3 linked regions of the Xenopus tropicalis genome follow. The protein of the gene in region 2 interacts with the protein of the main gene of each other region in a pairwise test. Links are inferred from orthologs where the notes say so. Each region holds a gene or a part of one and is shown on either strand. Other genes may lie near its edges.

Region 1 (5,479 bases), on a different chromosome or scaffold from region 2:
AACTTTTTCTTTATTTTAGGACTATGAGCAGTTTGCAGCTGCTGTTGAAGATGAGATATTGAGCCAGTTTCTTAAGCTTAAAGCTTAGATTCTGTGATGCTGAACCTTTTTTGTTACATCAATGCATTTGAGCCCACACCCTGCTTATTTTCACCCACAAAGGAGTAAACTAGAAACAGGGATTATTCATTCCATCTTTTCCTATACATTCCAAAATTTCACTTTCTTGCACCTCATTCATTCCTGGGATACTGGAAGAGGCCCTGAACTCTTTTTCTGTGTTTTTTTCAGAACCACCCCCCCCCCTGCTGGCAGATAAGGGATCTAAAAAAAAAAAACTTTCCTTTTTATGACTTCTAAACTCATTCCATGCTTTTCCTGCCAAAGAGGAAGTGAGAATGTCTTCCAGTAGATCAGTAAACCTGTTGTTCACATTGTTTTCATTTAAAAATAAAACACTTATCTGTTCCTAACTAAATGACTGAAATTGCTATGAGTTTTGCTCAAGTATTCCACGAATAATAAACAGATGTTTGTAGGTGGTTGTATATAGAGGCTGGGAATATGAAAAATAGCATTTTTCAGCTGGAAGGGAAGTGCCCAAATCTTGAAGAGGAGTCCGTCATGTCATTTGTTTTATAGAAGCAGACAAGCAGTTTCCATTTAAACTAATTAAAGGTTTGTTAGCCCGATTGGGCAGAATAAAAGAATATCACACGAGTGGCCATACAATTCTACAGGCATCTTTATTTTGCTCCAGAAAAGCAGGAAGTGAAGGAGTCACTTACTTTAGGGCGAAGACAGAGGGGACAATTAGTTGCCGTGATTTTTAAAAATCTGATTGCCGACTAATCGCAGCGGCACCAAGTTCCATATGGAAAGGTACTGCAACATAAAGTTGCTGCAACATAAATATGTAGTGTGGGACAAACTGCTATTGTACTTGTGTGTGGTGATAAATCGCCACAATCAGATTTTTAAAAACGCCGCAATAATCACCCTGGTATAGTTTTAGATCCCCCAGGATTGCAAGATTATTGGTCTATATGACCCCCCCCAGGCACCGTCACTTTCTGTTTAAAAGCCAGGAAGAAGGTAATGGATGCTACAATGATTTGCTTTTATCTCCTGCACGTTTCTTGCATAAACAAATGACTAGATTCATCGTTACTGCAATTAGTGGGAATTATAAGATGTTATGGCAAATTTGTATGGAGTACAACACTTAGGGGAATGTTTCTTGTTGTGTTAAGAATGTTTCTTGTGTTAATAGTGTTAAAAATGACCTCCCAACTATATGGGATAGCTTTAGCAGATGTATTTTCTAACAGGTGACTTTTCAGTGGCAAAATCTGCCTCCCAGCTATCAAGTTTTACTCACAGTAGAACATAATTTAATCTGCATACTGATAAAGAACTGTTAGTATTAGTTTATTGTTCCTTTATGGTCATGTATAGTTGTAGAATTATACCATATAAAAGTGCATGTTGTAAAGTTCAAGTTGAACAGTCATCAGGAAGAGATAAAAGATCACCGCCCCTTTGTTTCTTCTGTTCTTTAGATTCATAAATGAAATTCTTTCTTTTTTCCTCAGACTGATTGCTTTTTTTGTTCCTCCTCACTTCTTGCTCTGAGAACTAGAAAAGCATTGGGGACGAGGCCAACCTCTTCCAAGGTACATGTATCATCTTCATACACACAGTAAGGGAAAGGGGTGATAATGTTGTAGGAGGAGAGATCAGGTGCCCTGCTTACAAAATATATAATAAGGAATGAGAAATAAACAGACTAAATATGTTATAGGATTTTAAAAAAACAAAAAACACATACCGGCACGAGGACAAGTAATTTCGCAAGTCGGCAAGGGTTTCTGAAGACAACATTCGCACTTTATATGTTTTATCACCAGACTCAGACCTGATCCTTAAAGTTGACACTACCATGTTGTCTTGTGTGCTAAAACAAATACAAATATTTATATTCTTTAAATCTTGTTGTATAGTTGTGATCCTACATCAGGAGAGAGAGAGAGATGGCAACACTGTCTTAAAGGAACAGTTCAGTGTAAAAATTAAACTGGGTAAAATAGACTGCGCAAAATAAAAAATAATATTAACATAGTTATGGAAAAATATAATCTATAATGGCAGGATTGAGCAGATGTCTAACATAATAGCCAGAACACTATTTCCTGCTTTCAGCTCTTAGTTAGTCAGTGACTTTAGGGAGGCCACATGGGACATAACTGTTCAGTTAGTTTGCTTTTGAATCTGACCTGTGCACTCACAAACTAACTGAATAGTTGTGTCCCATGTGCCCCCCCCCCCCCCCCCCAAAATCACTGATTGGCTACTGACTGATAATAGCTTAGAGAGCTGTAAAGGAGGAAGTAGAGTTCTGGCTGTTATGTTAGACATCTGCCCACTCCAGCCTTTATAGATTTCACCTTTGGCTAACTAACTATATTGAAACTATTATTTTATTTTGCACAGTTTATCTATTTTACCCAGTTTCATTTTTACACTAAACTATTCCTTTAAAACTCGCCAAAAGCAACATTCCAACAGTGTTCTTTACATTGTTTACAATTGTGCCATTATAGAAAGGATGGAGCCCCATGTGGCTACCCAAAGTCTTAGGGCTGATGGGGATAACTTTTATGGGCCCATGTACAGCAACACACCTTTTTGTGAAAATACATTAATAATAATAATAATAAAGCTGTTTTATTCTTGGCTTGAGAAAGAAAGCTTAACTGAAGGACATCAATAAAAAACGCTGGACTTTGAATAAATATAACTGTGACAACTGGATTTATGAGACAAAGGAAAACACTATATTTAATAAAAAAAATATTAAAAACAAAAACAGCAAAGATATTATGTAATGACTACCCCCCTTTAACCCTATGGAATACATTTTACTATCCGTACCTCTGCTCTTTTGATAGCTGTGGAGATTCCACTAAGATTTCTTTTGGCATCTCATTTTCTTCTGACCCCTTAGAAAAACAACAAGAGCTAACTGTCTGAAGATGCTCCACCAAACCCTCCGTTCCCATGGTCATGTACAAACCTGCAGAGCTTCTCTTACAGCACTTCGTACATGCACAATTCTACCCCCACGAATTACAGATTTAGGCAGTCTATTCAAGAACTGGTCAGTGGAAAGCTGTGGTCCTGTTGGTGGGCAGAATTTACAATGAAAATGTTCTATAAACCCTTAAGGGCTTGCCTTATTTTTAAAGAGAGCCCTTACCTGGTTTTTTGTTAGTTTGTAAATTACTTCCTGAGCTCCCAATAGTCTGACCAGAACCAGGAAAATCATCCCATCGCCGCTGCTCTTGGAAAATTACATTGCGGTTGTCTGTAACCTGCAAGGCAAAGATACTTTTCAAGAGTCCTTTTCACCTACATGCGTAGACTGTATTCTTCAGCAATTCTCTTACCTGAAATGTGACTCCATTAGGAAACCGGGCCTGCAGTTCAGAGGGAAAATAGCCATCCATGATATCTCTTATACATAGCTGTAACACAATGAAGGACAAATTATTTCAGGGAAAATAACTTCTTTCCCATCTGACATACCACTGTTTCTGTTTTCCTCACCTGTGTGGATTTTTCCTTGTAGGATCGAAAGGGCCCTTGGAACATAATAATCCCGTTTTTATACAAAGTCAATGGGACAGACTCGGGTGCTCTCAAACGGGCCCCTCCCTTTTGATACTCAATATGCGATTCTCCCTCACCTCCAAGTACATTCAAATCTCTTAAATTTTCCAGGACTAGATCAAAGTCTGGTAGGAAAGAAGTAGGTGAAGAAGGTCCTATGGAGATTAAAAAAATATTACTATAAATACAACTATTTTTAAAAGTCTCATATTACCCATTTATTTAATAAAAGTGTAAAGTGAAAACACCACTAGTGCTAAAGCTATAGGGACTGATTCCTGACAATAGGTGGAACTCCTACTTAAAGCATGTAAAAAATATTAGAGATGGGCCGAATCCCAGATTTAGTTTGGGATTCAGCTAAATCGGAGCCATTTTTAGCATGACATGGCCGAATCCAACCGCCTAGCTGAATCTGAGCCCTAAGTATTGAAAAATATTTGCAGCATGCCTTCCCCTGCATTTTCTGCTTCTGCTCTGGGCTTGGTTCGGTATTTAGCCAAATTCGTACCCAAGGAACTGAAATATAGGTTTGGTGCATCCCTAGTAAATATACAGAGAAGCAATATTTTTAGTTATTGTCAATCGGTGTGTTATAACATGGTTTTTCAATAATATGGAAAAGTTAATGCCTAGTGACATTTATTTCAAATACTAGAACCTAGGATTAAAGAAAATAGTAATTGTGGTGTATGCAAACATTTCACTTCTTCATTATTTAAGGTCCCTGGCTCTAATTACCTTAGCATTAATAACCATTAGGAGTTCTATTTGCCTGGCAACGCTGAGTACAGGCTTGTCTACTTATCTGATCAATGATACTGTAGCATTAGAAAACTACTTCCCATGTAGTTTAGCCCTTAATACACTGAATTTACACTGTTTAAACAGAAGTTTTCAGGGCTGACCCTACTCCATACTCCAGTGATATCCGAATAACAGATAGAAGCTTCTCATAGCCTGCTATGAACCGCTGCTTCCAAGGAGATTGTTTACAGTGGCAATGTTATAATCTACAATTACCTGGGCTCCATGTTCTGGCAGTGGATTCAGGTGAGACATCTGCATTGTTTTCCCCAACCCAGACCAGTCCATAATCACCAAGGAAACGCTAGGGAGGAACAAAACATTTCTGGGTCTCACTTATTACATAGCTATTAGAAAAAATATGGCACACCATACACACTCACCTCCATCTCAGAGATTTTTTTATTTAGTTCCTTACACTGGTGTTCCAGTTCCTGTTCTCTCCTTCCACTTGTGGCATTCCCTGTATGTAAAAATTGAGTTAAAGGACATATAAACCCTACATTTTCCTACCCACCATTGGGCACATCCCCAACCCAAACAAACCTGAATGTAGCTGTTGAAGTCTTTTGATTTTCTTTTCTAGGTCTCTGATTTCCTGATCCTGTGGTATAGATATGGATAGAGAGACAGACACACAGATATATTTTCTCAGTATTCCTAAGCACTAAGCACATCTATGAACAACTGTTCATTCTTGCCTCATGTATTCGGTGTGATAACAAGAAAATGCCAAGTTACTAATATTCATCAATCCAGCATAATGCGTTTTTTAGTATTAGATTTAAACTTAGAATTTTTTTTACAAAGATAATTGCCCAAAAGCATGGAAAACCTTTGAGACAATCACATCTATGGGGGGGGGGGGGTTGTGTTCTCTCTCCAACCTACTTAAGTAATCCACAGCCTTTTTACTATAAAAAAATTGGTGTCTATTAGTGTAAACATTATCACTATTACTGGACATAAAATGTGCATATATTAAAGAATGATATGATGC
Region 2 (5,043 bases):
GATTCCACGTTAACATATTTCTGGGATTTCCAAAGGGCTTTGACAGGTTTGGGAGTACCCTTCCCATTTTCTTGTTCTATCTCTCTACACTTTCTTTGTATTTCCCTCATCCTTTTGACATTTTCTTTAACATGGTCCTTGCTTTTACCTAGGATAAAAACAAAATTTATAGCAGTTTTAAGTTTTAAGGGTAAGACAAGTAAAATTAGTTATTGTGTTTGTCTTACACTGACATATATATATATATAATATATACATAAAGAAAAATGTCGGCACTCACAGGGTTTCCATATAAAGGCAAAAAATAAACAGCTTTTAAATACAAACGGTGATGTTTATTCTTTCCAACGTTTCAGTCCTATACACGGACTTTCGTCAGGGAGTATATATATAATATATATATATATATAATCATGAGTAGAATAGATTTCTTATTTTTAATCATTCAGGTTTTAGAGATTTTAGCTTTTTTAATAAGCACACATTTGAGTTTGGTGAGCAAAGGAGAAAAGGCACATGTTACATAGCAGATAACAGACAAGCACTGTAATAGAATACAGTGGAATTCATTTTTTGTACTTCTTTAATATTCATGGGTCCTCACTCACAAAGTGCGGGGCACCTTGGGCACTGGTCAAACAGACCAACACTCCCCCAGTCAATACAGCGCTGCCTTACTGCTGCATATATGATAAGGATGTAGCCTATATTTTGTGCCTGGCATTCTCCCTTGCCACATTAGAGCATATTGCCCCAGTGATACAAGGAAGTAGTAGCTAACTACATTTCATTTAACACTGGTAATAATATTTAGTAATAAAACAACATTAAATGCTACACCCTAGAGTATACCCTTAGCAAAGGACTCTTCTCTATTCCATGGCCATATGACTCCTTGTTTTCCAATGCATCCTTTAGACCCTTACTTTATATGTCAGTTTTGGATGCTCTATCGCCTCTGTTAAAGCTCAAAGTACCTGTGTATTAATATATTTCTACACGTCGATACTTTTGCAATAGAAAATGTAACTTTGTTGGGTACTTTCTTTAGGATGCAGATTAGACTTCTGTAGCTAGAGCAAATGTCATGTGAGCTCTGACCAAATCCCTTTACATGATCAAGGTTCTAGCTTTTCTTATGTGGTTACAGTCCAAATATATAACCCACGAACAATGCTTGAGATGCAGCTCCTATGTGAATGAATGCATTTTGTGAAGACCCAAGTAAGCTATCCTTTAAAAATTGTGAAAATCTCTGTAAATAAATAAAGGGCTGCCCAACTTGGGTAAATTTTGACAAACTTGCAAAAGGCCCTTATTGGACAGAAGCCAGCATTACTCAAGGTTCCTTACTGAGCTGGTTGAATTTGGTTTACCTCAACACCAACCAGTGTTCAATCTGACCTATACTTACAAAACTAATTCATTTGCCTAACAGGAACAAAGGTATAGGTTTGCTGGTATCATGAACCATAGAAATTACTTCCCTCTATTAAGGCTCTTACAGATGAGTGTTTTTTCATGCGATGCAGTTCCTTGTTTGTATTCACTCTTCCGCAGGGAAGTGCCAAATACAGGTGAAATGCAACCCGATCTATTCCACCTGCATTTGGCACTTCCCTGCAGCAGAGTAAGAACAAACCCATTGAAAAAAATCTAAGCTTAGCAGATATTTATTATTATTATTTTCTGCTTGTTTGGTTTCTATTAGCTTCCAATTCTGCTTCTTTCCAGCCTTGAACTGGAAACATATTTATATGTTGGTTGTCAGGGTTACTAAGCCCAGCAAAGAAAACTCCAAAAACTGACTGCAAGGTATACATTTTATGTAGTTATTAATTAAAACTAAAACTTTTCAGGCCTTCTCCTGTACATCCTCTGATGAAATACAGGATTAGCAAAAGCAAAGCAAAAAGTGATTTCCAGCTACGATACCCATAGTGTTTAGAGTTGGAGCTGGTCTGGCCAGGGTCTGACCTCCCTTTCATCTTACCCCCACAGTAGTACTAAGGCATAGAGGCAGGGCAGGCTGACCTTCCTTGATGTCACTGCACTCCTCACAATCCCCCCTCCCTCCTCCCTTATCTATAATTGTGTATTGCATGGGCAACAGGTGTAAGATTCTGGAGAATAAACAAAATTTTGGGATGATACAAATTTTTCCTTATAAGAGCGTCCACAAATTGGCACTTTTTTACTTGCTGAGTTCCAAGACTGAAAGAAACAATATTTAAATACTTTAAATAGTGTAAGTGAAGTTTATTTTGCTTGATAAAAACAATATAAAAGAAATGTAAATGATTTATTAGGGTTAAAGGTCCCATTTAAAATCTCAAGCCTAAGAGATTCAAAACGTTTTATAAACAGCCTTAAACATTACAAATCCCCAAGCAGAATTTACCTTAATAACAAGCAATTATATCTTCACAGTAGCACACACACACATTACATATTTAGGACTAAAAATGACATCAGATATAACTAATAACGTTTAACTTAACTACTTATTAAAAAACGTATTAAACTTATTAAAAAAGAATATTCTCCCTAGATTCCAATACTTTTTCCAAATACTTGTTCCATTTATCCAGGATTAACACTAGATAATTTCAAAGACCGGAAAATAAAACCCCACCAAGGGGCATATATTTGTATAAAACATTTTATACAAACACAAAAACTAATGGAAATAACAAAACAGCCCTCAACACAAATAGAGATCCTCTGGGAATCTAGCAACCCCCCAACAAAATCAATATTGTATATATACAAATGCTTGAGCAAATTAGCTCCTGACCCAGACACAGTTTTTTAAAAGTAAATGGTAAAGAGAGCTGAGCTGCGTGATACCAGAGGAGACCGGGGAAATAGTGCAAATACTTTCCTACGCCTCCTACAAGAACAAAACTATAAACTTCCTTTACAGTGGTACAGAATTCTTCCCCTCGTTACATGCTGGAGGTGTGGAGGGGACTCTTTCTCACATCTTCTGGGGATGCCTAGCCTTGGCAACTTACTGGTCCTTAATCAGAGACATAAATAAGACAATAACCGATAAAGATATTAATAATGGTCCAGTAGTCCTACAGATGCTACAACATTTTCACCTACAATATATAAAAAGTCACTTGTACTCATATTATTAGATACACCTAAAGCTCTCATCCCACCACTGTGGAGATCCCAAATGGTCCCCCAGAGAAAAGTGGATGCAAAAAAATTGAGAAAATCAGTAAATTTGAAGAACTAAAATCACATGAAACACAACACTATATTCAGAAATTATTTTATTGGACAAGCTCTAAAGAAACAGATTATTATAAGAACTTCATGACCTCCACTTAGTCATTCATAGATGCATCATTATACTTACCTTATGTAATGTAATAGGTAATGTAAAGGAACAACTGATTTGCCATAGCTATATCAAATCAGACATATACTGAATAATAAAAGGTTATACTATATTTACTCAAGTATTAATACCCTGAATCAATCAGAAGGCTCAAAAAATTGTGCAAGACCTCTGGTTCCTAAACCACTGTTCCTATTTACCTCCGTGAATATGATCATCAGCCACAGTCATAAAGTCATAAAATGACTCAATGACTCTGAAGTTGACCAACCTAGGGAATGGCTTTTGATTCTTTGTTGTTTTTTTCTATATTACCTTTTTCTTCTATGTTGGGGATTACTACACAGCCCCTCCCACATGTGTGCTCACTGCACAACATGATCCCCTAAAAATACAAGATGGAAGAAGAGACAGACTCAGCAAACACCAGACACCTAGCAAGGATGTGATATGTGCAGTCTTTCATAATTTTTGAATGAACGTGCACCCTGTGTGTTTTTTCTTGTCAATACAAATTTCAATTATAAAAAAAAAAGCTAAAACTATATGGACATGTTTTTGAACATGTCATTGAGAAACTAAAAGTATAACATGACTTTTGTCCTCTTTTTTGCTGTAACACTTCTGGTGCTCTGTGAGAAGTCAGGTCATGGGCATGACATTTCTGCATAAGTTAGAATTTTCAATGTGGTATGTCATCATTGAGCTCTTTAGTAGAGTCATTATACTGCCAATTGTTGCTAAAGTGTGCATAGCTCTGTGCCAGCAATAAGTATGAGTTCAATAGCTAATTAGAACTCACTAATCACTAATTAGAAGGAATATCCAGATTTTTATATTTTATGGTGTATAAAGTGAACCAGAGATGAAAAGTTTAACAATAAAATTATCAGACAAACAAACAACATGACTGATATGTTAAAAAATGTACTAACTTTTTGTAGGCAGGCTGGGATGAAGAGATATTCCTTCTAACTGCAAGAGATCTCCAACAGTTCCCCTCTGGCCACGCTTTAGGATGTCATGAGCACTAGAGTGGATCCTAGGAGGAGGGTGTGAAAGGCGGGAACTGTAAAAAGATGGACATATTATTGGGTCGGGAGCTATAGGACCCAATAATAATTCCAACTCCAAGCTTCTGCCTTCAAGTCTTCCACGGGCTGCAGAAAAGAAGAAAAGGGAGATAATTTATATTTATGATATTTTAAGTTGTTTTAATTTTGTACATAAAGATATTTTGGAAATATTATGCTGATTGGAGGAGATTTTCAGAACTACATAAATACACTACTTTTAGCAAAACTTTGCAAGTTGGTGTATAAAAATAATTCTACCCATGTTTGGGGTTAGATTACTCTTAGGCAACTCTCTGCAGCAGCCATAGTACAGGTATGGGACCTGTTATGTAGAATGCTTGGGACCTGGGGTTTTCCGGATAAGGGATCTTTCCATAATTTTTGTCCGCTAAAAATTATTTTAATATTGAATAATCCCAATAGGATTGATTTGCCCCCAATAAGGGGTAATTATATCTTAGCTGGGATCAAGTACAAGGTACTGTTTTATTATTACAGAGAAAAAGGAAATCATTTTTGGGAGATGGCCTTTCTGTAATTCGGAGCTCTCTGGATAACGGGTTTCCGGATAAGGAATCCCATACCTGTATCAGCCCCCTATACACTATGCAT
Region 3 (5,043 bases), on a different chromosome or scaffold from region 2:
AGAAAAAACTTTAACGATATACTTGAAGTATAAGGGGTTTTATATGTCGTCACATTAAAAATCCATATAAACTTTGTAGTATTATAGTATATTTTTCCAATCACTACTTCCCCTAGGTCTGGGTAATGTCCATGTCCCCAGAACCCCCGCATGTAGATCCCTGTCTGTGTAAAGTGCCTTGCCCCTGAACTAACCACATTTTTCATCCAGAGCCCTTTAATTTTCCTAAATACTTAGTGCCAAATGTCTGGCGGTATTTCCAACATAAATCAAGTTTGAAGTACATCTGAGTACATAATCCATACATTGTGCTTTACATTCAAAACTTTTCAACTGTATGTACCTTTCTACTCGCATCTTTTAGATGCCAATCCCGAATGGGAAAAATTCGGATTGGATACGATAATTTCTGAAGATCGCAAATATCACGAAAATGCTTACGAAAAAATTGTATTAGTCACAATAATATCGTATTGGTGATCCGAAAGTCACAAAATTTTCGTACCGAACAATTGTAAACAGCGGCAGAACCTTTCTGAATTTTTGCGCAAGCGCACAAAAAAGTTGCGCGGGTGTACTAAAAAGTCACGCAAGAGCGAACAAATCAGCGAAAATAAATTCGGAGCGTTCATGTTTTTAATAAATCTCCCCCTTAATAAATATCAGACATTCGAATTTTTGAACCATAATTGGAAAAAACTTGAATCGTGAAAAAAATCAAACTCAAATATTGAAAAATCTCCCCCTTATAAAACTTATAAAACTGTAAATGAATAATGAGGGAACACACAGCCCACCACTAAATGGTGGATCAAGGGAAAGGCTATAAAAGGGCAATAATTACTGATATAGATAGTTAGTGAAGCTTAACCTATAGGCTTATAAGATTAGCTAAAACCAAGTAATGGCCTCCACCCAACACATGTATCCTTTAGTGTTTGAGCTCAGCTCTCATTCTAACAATCATTCATTCCTTGTTTGTTCATTATGAGCTGGCAAAGCTAGGGATTAATGCCTAATAATCAATAGGAACAGGATTTAGTAAAAATCACTTGGTAGCTACTACTAATGTGTACCTGATAAACACATGCCAATGGGAATTCTGTACTGACTGACACTGAAGTTTTTGCTGTCCACGGCTATTAAAGAGAAAGGGACATTTTTTGTAATGAAAATATGTATGATGAAGAGAGCATAGATTGCACCTTGCCACTGTTTTATACATGAACACTTCTGTAACTGAATAACAGACAGTCTGCTCTCTGTAGTCATTCATGATATGTGTATAACACATGAAACACTTTCAGCAAATCATCTCCAGCCATCCCCAAATTAGAATGGAAAATGCTTGACTGACATTTCAGTGGTGATATTGGGCATTTGCTATTCAAATAAATGTGAGGCAGAAAAGGGATATTTCAAGCACTTTGTAGTGCCATTTGAACAGGTTCCATGTAATGCTGATTGTTTATTGTTTGTAAATTGAGTTCTTTAATGTTTTATCCATTTACATTTGCTTTAATAAAAATGCCGTATGGGTGCACATGATTACATAAGTGCCTGAAAGCATCTGAACTGTTTCATATAGAGAGATGGCAAGGGTTGGAATCCACTAATAACAGCTATCCTATGAGCCTATACTGTAAGTATAAGTGAGCTGACAGGAGAGATATAAGTGCATTAGAAAAGCGCACTCAGCGGTGCTAGGGTTAACTTGTGCTCTCAACTCCCAGGGTACATTCTCTTTAGTCGGCCAAACATTAAACTATACTAATGAAAAAACAGGCAGTTATAAAATAATAATTAAAATAATTTCTGCAAATATTCTATTATTCAATCTACCAGTTATACAGACTTATTTTTACTTGTTTTGTAAAATGTTACCTCTGGTGCCTACAGTTGCAGAAATAATCACACAAAGTAATGCTTAAATCAACTGTACTACATACAAGCATCCTAGCTGTGACTGACACTGTTTACAAGATATCTATTTCCATGCATATAAACTGCACTTTACTGGGTCTGTGCAAAGGAGATCCCCTATTGCACTTTTATTTAAGGTTCTGCACCACATGCTCCTGCTGTACCACTGTGCAGCCTAGAGCAAAATGTTTGGCATTAAGGTGTTCCTCTTTTTATTATTATTATTATTATTATTATTATTATTATTAAATAATAATAATAATAATAATAATAATAATAATAATAATAATAATAATAATAATAATAATAATAATAATAATAATAATAATAATAATAATAATAATAATAATAATAATAAATATTATTATTATATATCACAATATTATTGCCTCTTGCAAAACAAATTTCTACATTGTATTGAAATCAGCTGACGATGGAGGCTGTTAAACAGGCTGAGCAGTCAATATCCATTTAGAGGGCATATATTGTATTACAATGTCTCTGAATAGGAAAAGCACCTTTTTACAAGAAAGTGTATATATTATTTTTTTTTATAAATATTCAGTAAAAGCTTTGCATCTGTTATTCTAAAGATTGAGTCTATTGTGTCTGCACATTTCTGTTTATCTAATAAGTCACTGCTGAAGGAGAATGAAAAGCCATAGAGCACTATAAGCACCTGTATTTACCAAGCAGCACCTCTTGATCAAAACATGCTGACATGGGGCTACCAGTGTTTTACCCTGCAAGAGTCATTGACACTATTTTCAGGATCTACAATTGGTCAAGTTCCCTATAAGATACAGTGCATATGTTGCTCCCAGAGGTGTTCATCAACCACCCTAAGCAAAGAGTGAGCTATTTAGTGTAGAATAGAATGTAGCCTGTATGTATAAGACCTTTACCAGCTGTAAATGGTGACTAGGAGTACACCATTGATTCAATGGAAGAAACAGATTTCACAAATCTCATTATGAACTAGCATGGTGTGACCAACCAGACTGACAGTGAGGGGTTACCTAATGGCTTTATGGGTCATTAATTAAAACATGTACATGGTTTGATGGCCATATAACTCATTACATCTTTTCTTCACTTTACAATCTGACAGTTATGAGAAGCCATTCATTTGTGTGGTTATTTGGGACCATACAAATGAAAATAAGATCCAGAACAAGGTGGGAGGCACCCCAATTTTAATACAAATCTGAAAACCAGAGATTTCTATCCTGTGAATTATCAATCATGGAGGAATTACAACTCAAAGCATCCCCTTCATCAGGGTGTCGTGTTGTGAGCTGCAGTCCATGAACTGCTCAATGGCTGCAAGTAGGTCAACCTTGAGGCAAATTATATAGGAAGACATCAAGCAACAATTGCACAAATAATTATGTAATTTCATTTACATAGACATTTTCTGGCCAAGAGGAATTTGCTGAGGCCTGTAACTAGCTTTAGCTATCTTCCTCGTGCAGACATCTTTAGCACACTCTCTGGGAGATTTTATCATACAACCATATTGCACTAAAAAACTCTTTTGTTATTTAAATGCCCTACAACCTGCAACATATTTTCTAAAAGGAAAACATTCTCAAAATATTGTCACTTAATGCATTAGAGTCAAAAGGGGCACAATCCTAGAGAACAAGAATAAAGCAGAGCCTGACCTTCTCAGCTTTTCTGTCACTTTCTCCAGTTCCTCCTGTGCCCTCCTCAGCTCAGTTTCAAGGAACTGCCGGGTGGAATCAAATTCCGATTCAAGCATTTCCAGTTTGTGAGTAGTGTAAGACAGTCTCTTCTGCAGTTCTTCCTTCTGGTCCTGCAAGCTGCTAAAAGAAACAAATATTCCACCAACTGTGATTATCCAAGATGCAAAGTGTTGTTTTTCCACTGCCAATAAAAAAGACTGACTGCTGTTTCTCTCTCCGTGATCTCACAGTTCTGGGTATTTTAAGATCTAATCTGAGGCACACAACAAAGTCTCCTAGATGCAAATGATCATTAAGTATTTATGTATTCTTTAGCAGGACTTGGCAGAATGTGGGATATGCCCGAGAGTGCCATTCCTTCCTCCCCGGAATTTGTTACATAATGACAGAAATAAGAGAAATGTTCAATCTGGTCCTCAGTTATTTTTTATTATTATTCTGTTCTAGAATGCATGTCTACAGAATCATTTTGAAAGCAAGTGCAATATATGAAGTGCTAGAATAGAGGCAAACATTGAGCATGCATTAATGATATTAACAAAGGTACTTGTGCCCATACATATTACTAACATCACCAATGTGCCTGAATTTTGCATAGGGACACTAGGGAACCCTGGTACTAATATTAGTCTAGCAGGGTGTGTCCATAAAAGCAAATTGGATGCTAGTGGTGATACTGATGCCACTAGAAGTGACAAATTGCACACATTTCACCAAAAGCAATGAATATTCACATTTGTGCATTGTGTGCAAGTTGTTTGGGTGCTTAGCTGGCACCCAAAATTATGCTGAAATTCTTGGAACAATGCTACATTCTGATTCAAAAACATGGCAGCTTTTATCAGAAACTTGCACTTTGCACATTGCAATTTCTTCACAAATAGGCTATTGCCATGTATGTTAGGACAGCAGCTATTAATGAAGAATCTGAACAGGTCACTAGTGGGAATAGTATGGTCTGTAGAAACCCTCTCCAACAACAGCCCAACTCATTTGACAGCTCATTTAGTGAATGGCTTACACTATTAAGTTAATTGCCAGAAAACTTATAAAGTACGGTTATGCACAACTAAACTCAGGATGGAGCAATACAGTTATGTCGAAATACCTAGTACTGCATCCAGTAGTATCTACCTTGTACTTGCTGCAACTCATCATTTGCACATGATCTATAAGACATGGTTGCATATAATGTGCAGTGACATAGGTTGGCAAAATGAGCCTTGCACTATTTGGAGGCACAGAAGTGGGTGGGTTCTGAGGGCCACTTAGGTTGAGATTTATGGCTTTGACAATGATGTCTGAAAAACACTCTTATTGCCATATTATTTTCCTATATTTCTCAGAATGAGAGGATACAAGTATGTTTGATAAAAAGACACCTGAAAATGCTTTAGCTTCTTTGATTGCA

Evidence for each region. The genes of interacting proteins can lie anywhere in the genome.
Region 1: the proteins of enkd1 (region 2) and ubxn11 interact in binary tests that used the Homo sapiens proteins (3 or more experiments, as listed by UniProt). The two-hybrid records come from large-scale screens. The link is inferred for Xenopus tropicalis from reciprocal best matches to the Homo sapiens genes ENKD1 and UBXN11.
Region 3: the proteins of enkd1 (region 2) and begain interact in binary tests that used the Homo sapiens proteins (3 or more experiments, as listed by UniProt). The two-hybrid records come from large-scale screens. The link is inferred for Xenopus tropicalis from reciprocal best matches to the Homo sapiens genes ENKD1 and BEGAIN.

The regions. Positions count from the first base shown.
Region 1 is NC_030678.2:77,352,443-77,357,921, forward strand, and holds the end of ubxn11 (UBX domain-containing protein 11), read right to left. Parts: intron 5,084-5,479; coding exon 5,026-5,083; intron 4,943-5,025; coding exon 4,863-4,942; intron 4,784-4,862; coding exon 4,696-4,783; intron 3,828-4,695; coding exon 3,610-3,827; intron 3,528-3,609; coding exon 3,450-3,527; intron 3,375-3,449; coding exon 3,260-3,374; intron 3,181-3,259; coding exon 3,077-3,180; intron 3,003-3,076; coding exon 2,935-3,002; intron 1,958-2,934; coding exon 1,832-1,957; intron 1,749-1,831; coding exon 1,592-1,748; 3' UTR 1,411-1,591; downstream 1-1,410. Other genes in the region: sh3bgrl3 (SH3 domain-binding glutamic acid-rich-like protein 3), read left to right, coding at 20-88. UniProt on the Homo sapiens protein: May be involved in the reorganization of actin cytoskeleton mediated by RND1, RND2 and RND3. Promotes RHOA activation mediated by GNA12 and GNA13.
Region 2 is NC_030680.2:41,248,245-41,253,287, reverse strand, and holds part of enkd1 (enkurin domain-containing protein 1), read right to left. Parts: intron 4,516-5,043; coding exon 4,291-4,515; intron 149-4,290; coding exon 1-148. UniProt on the Homo sapiens protein: Microtubule-binding protein which regulates microtubule organization and stability. Promotes the stability of astral microtubules and facilitates the proper orientation of the mitotic spindle.
Region 3 is NC_030684.2:96,751,530-96,756,572, forward strand, and holds part of begain (brain-enriched guanylate kinase-associated protein), read right to left. Parts: intron 3,753-5,043; coding exon 3,591-3,752; intron 1-3,590. UniProt on the Homo sapiens protein: May sustain the structure of the postsynaptic density (PSD).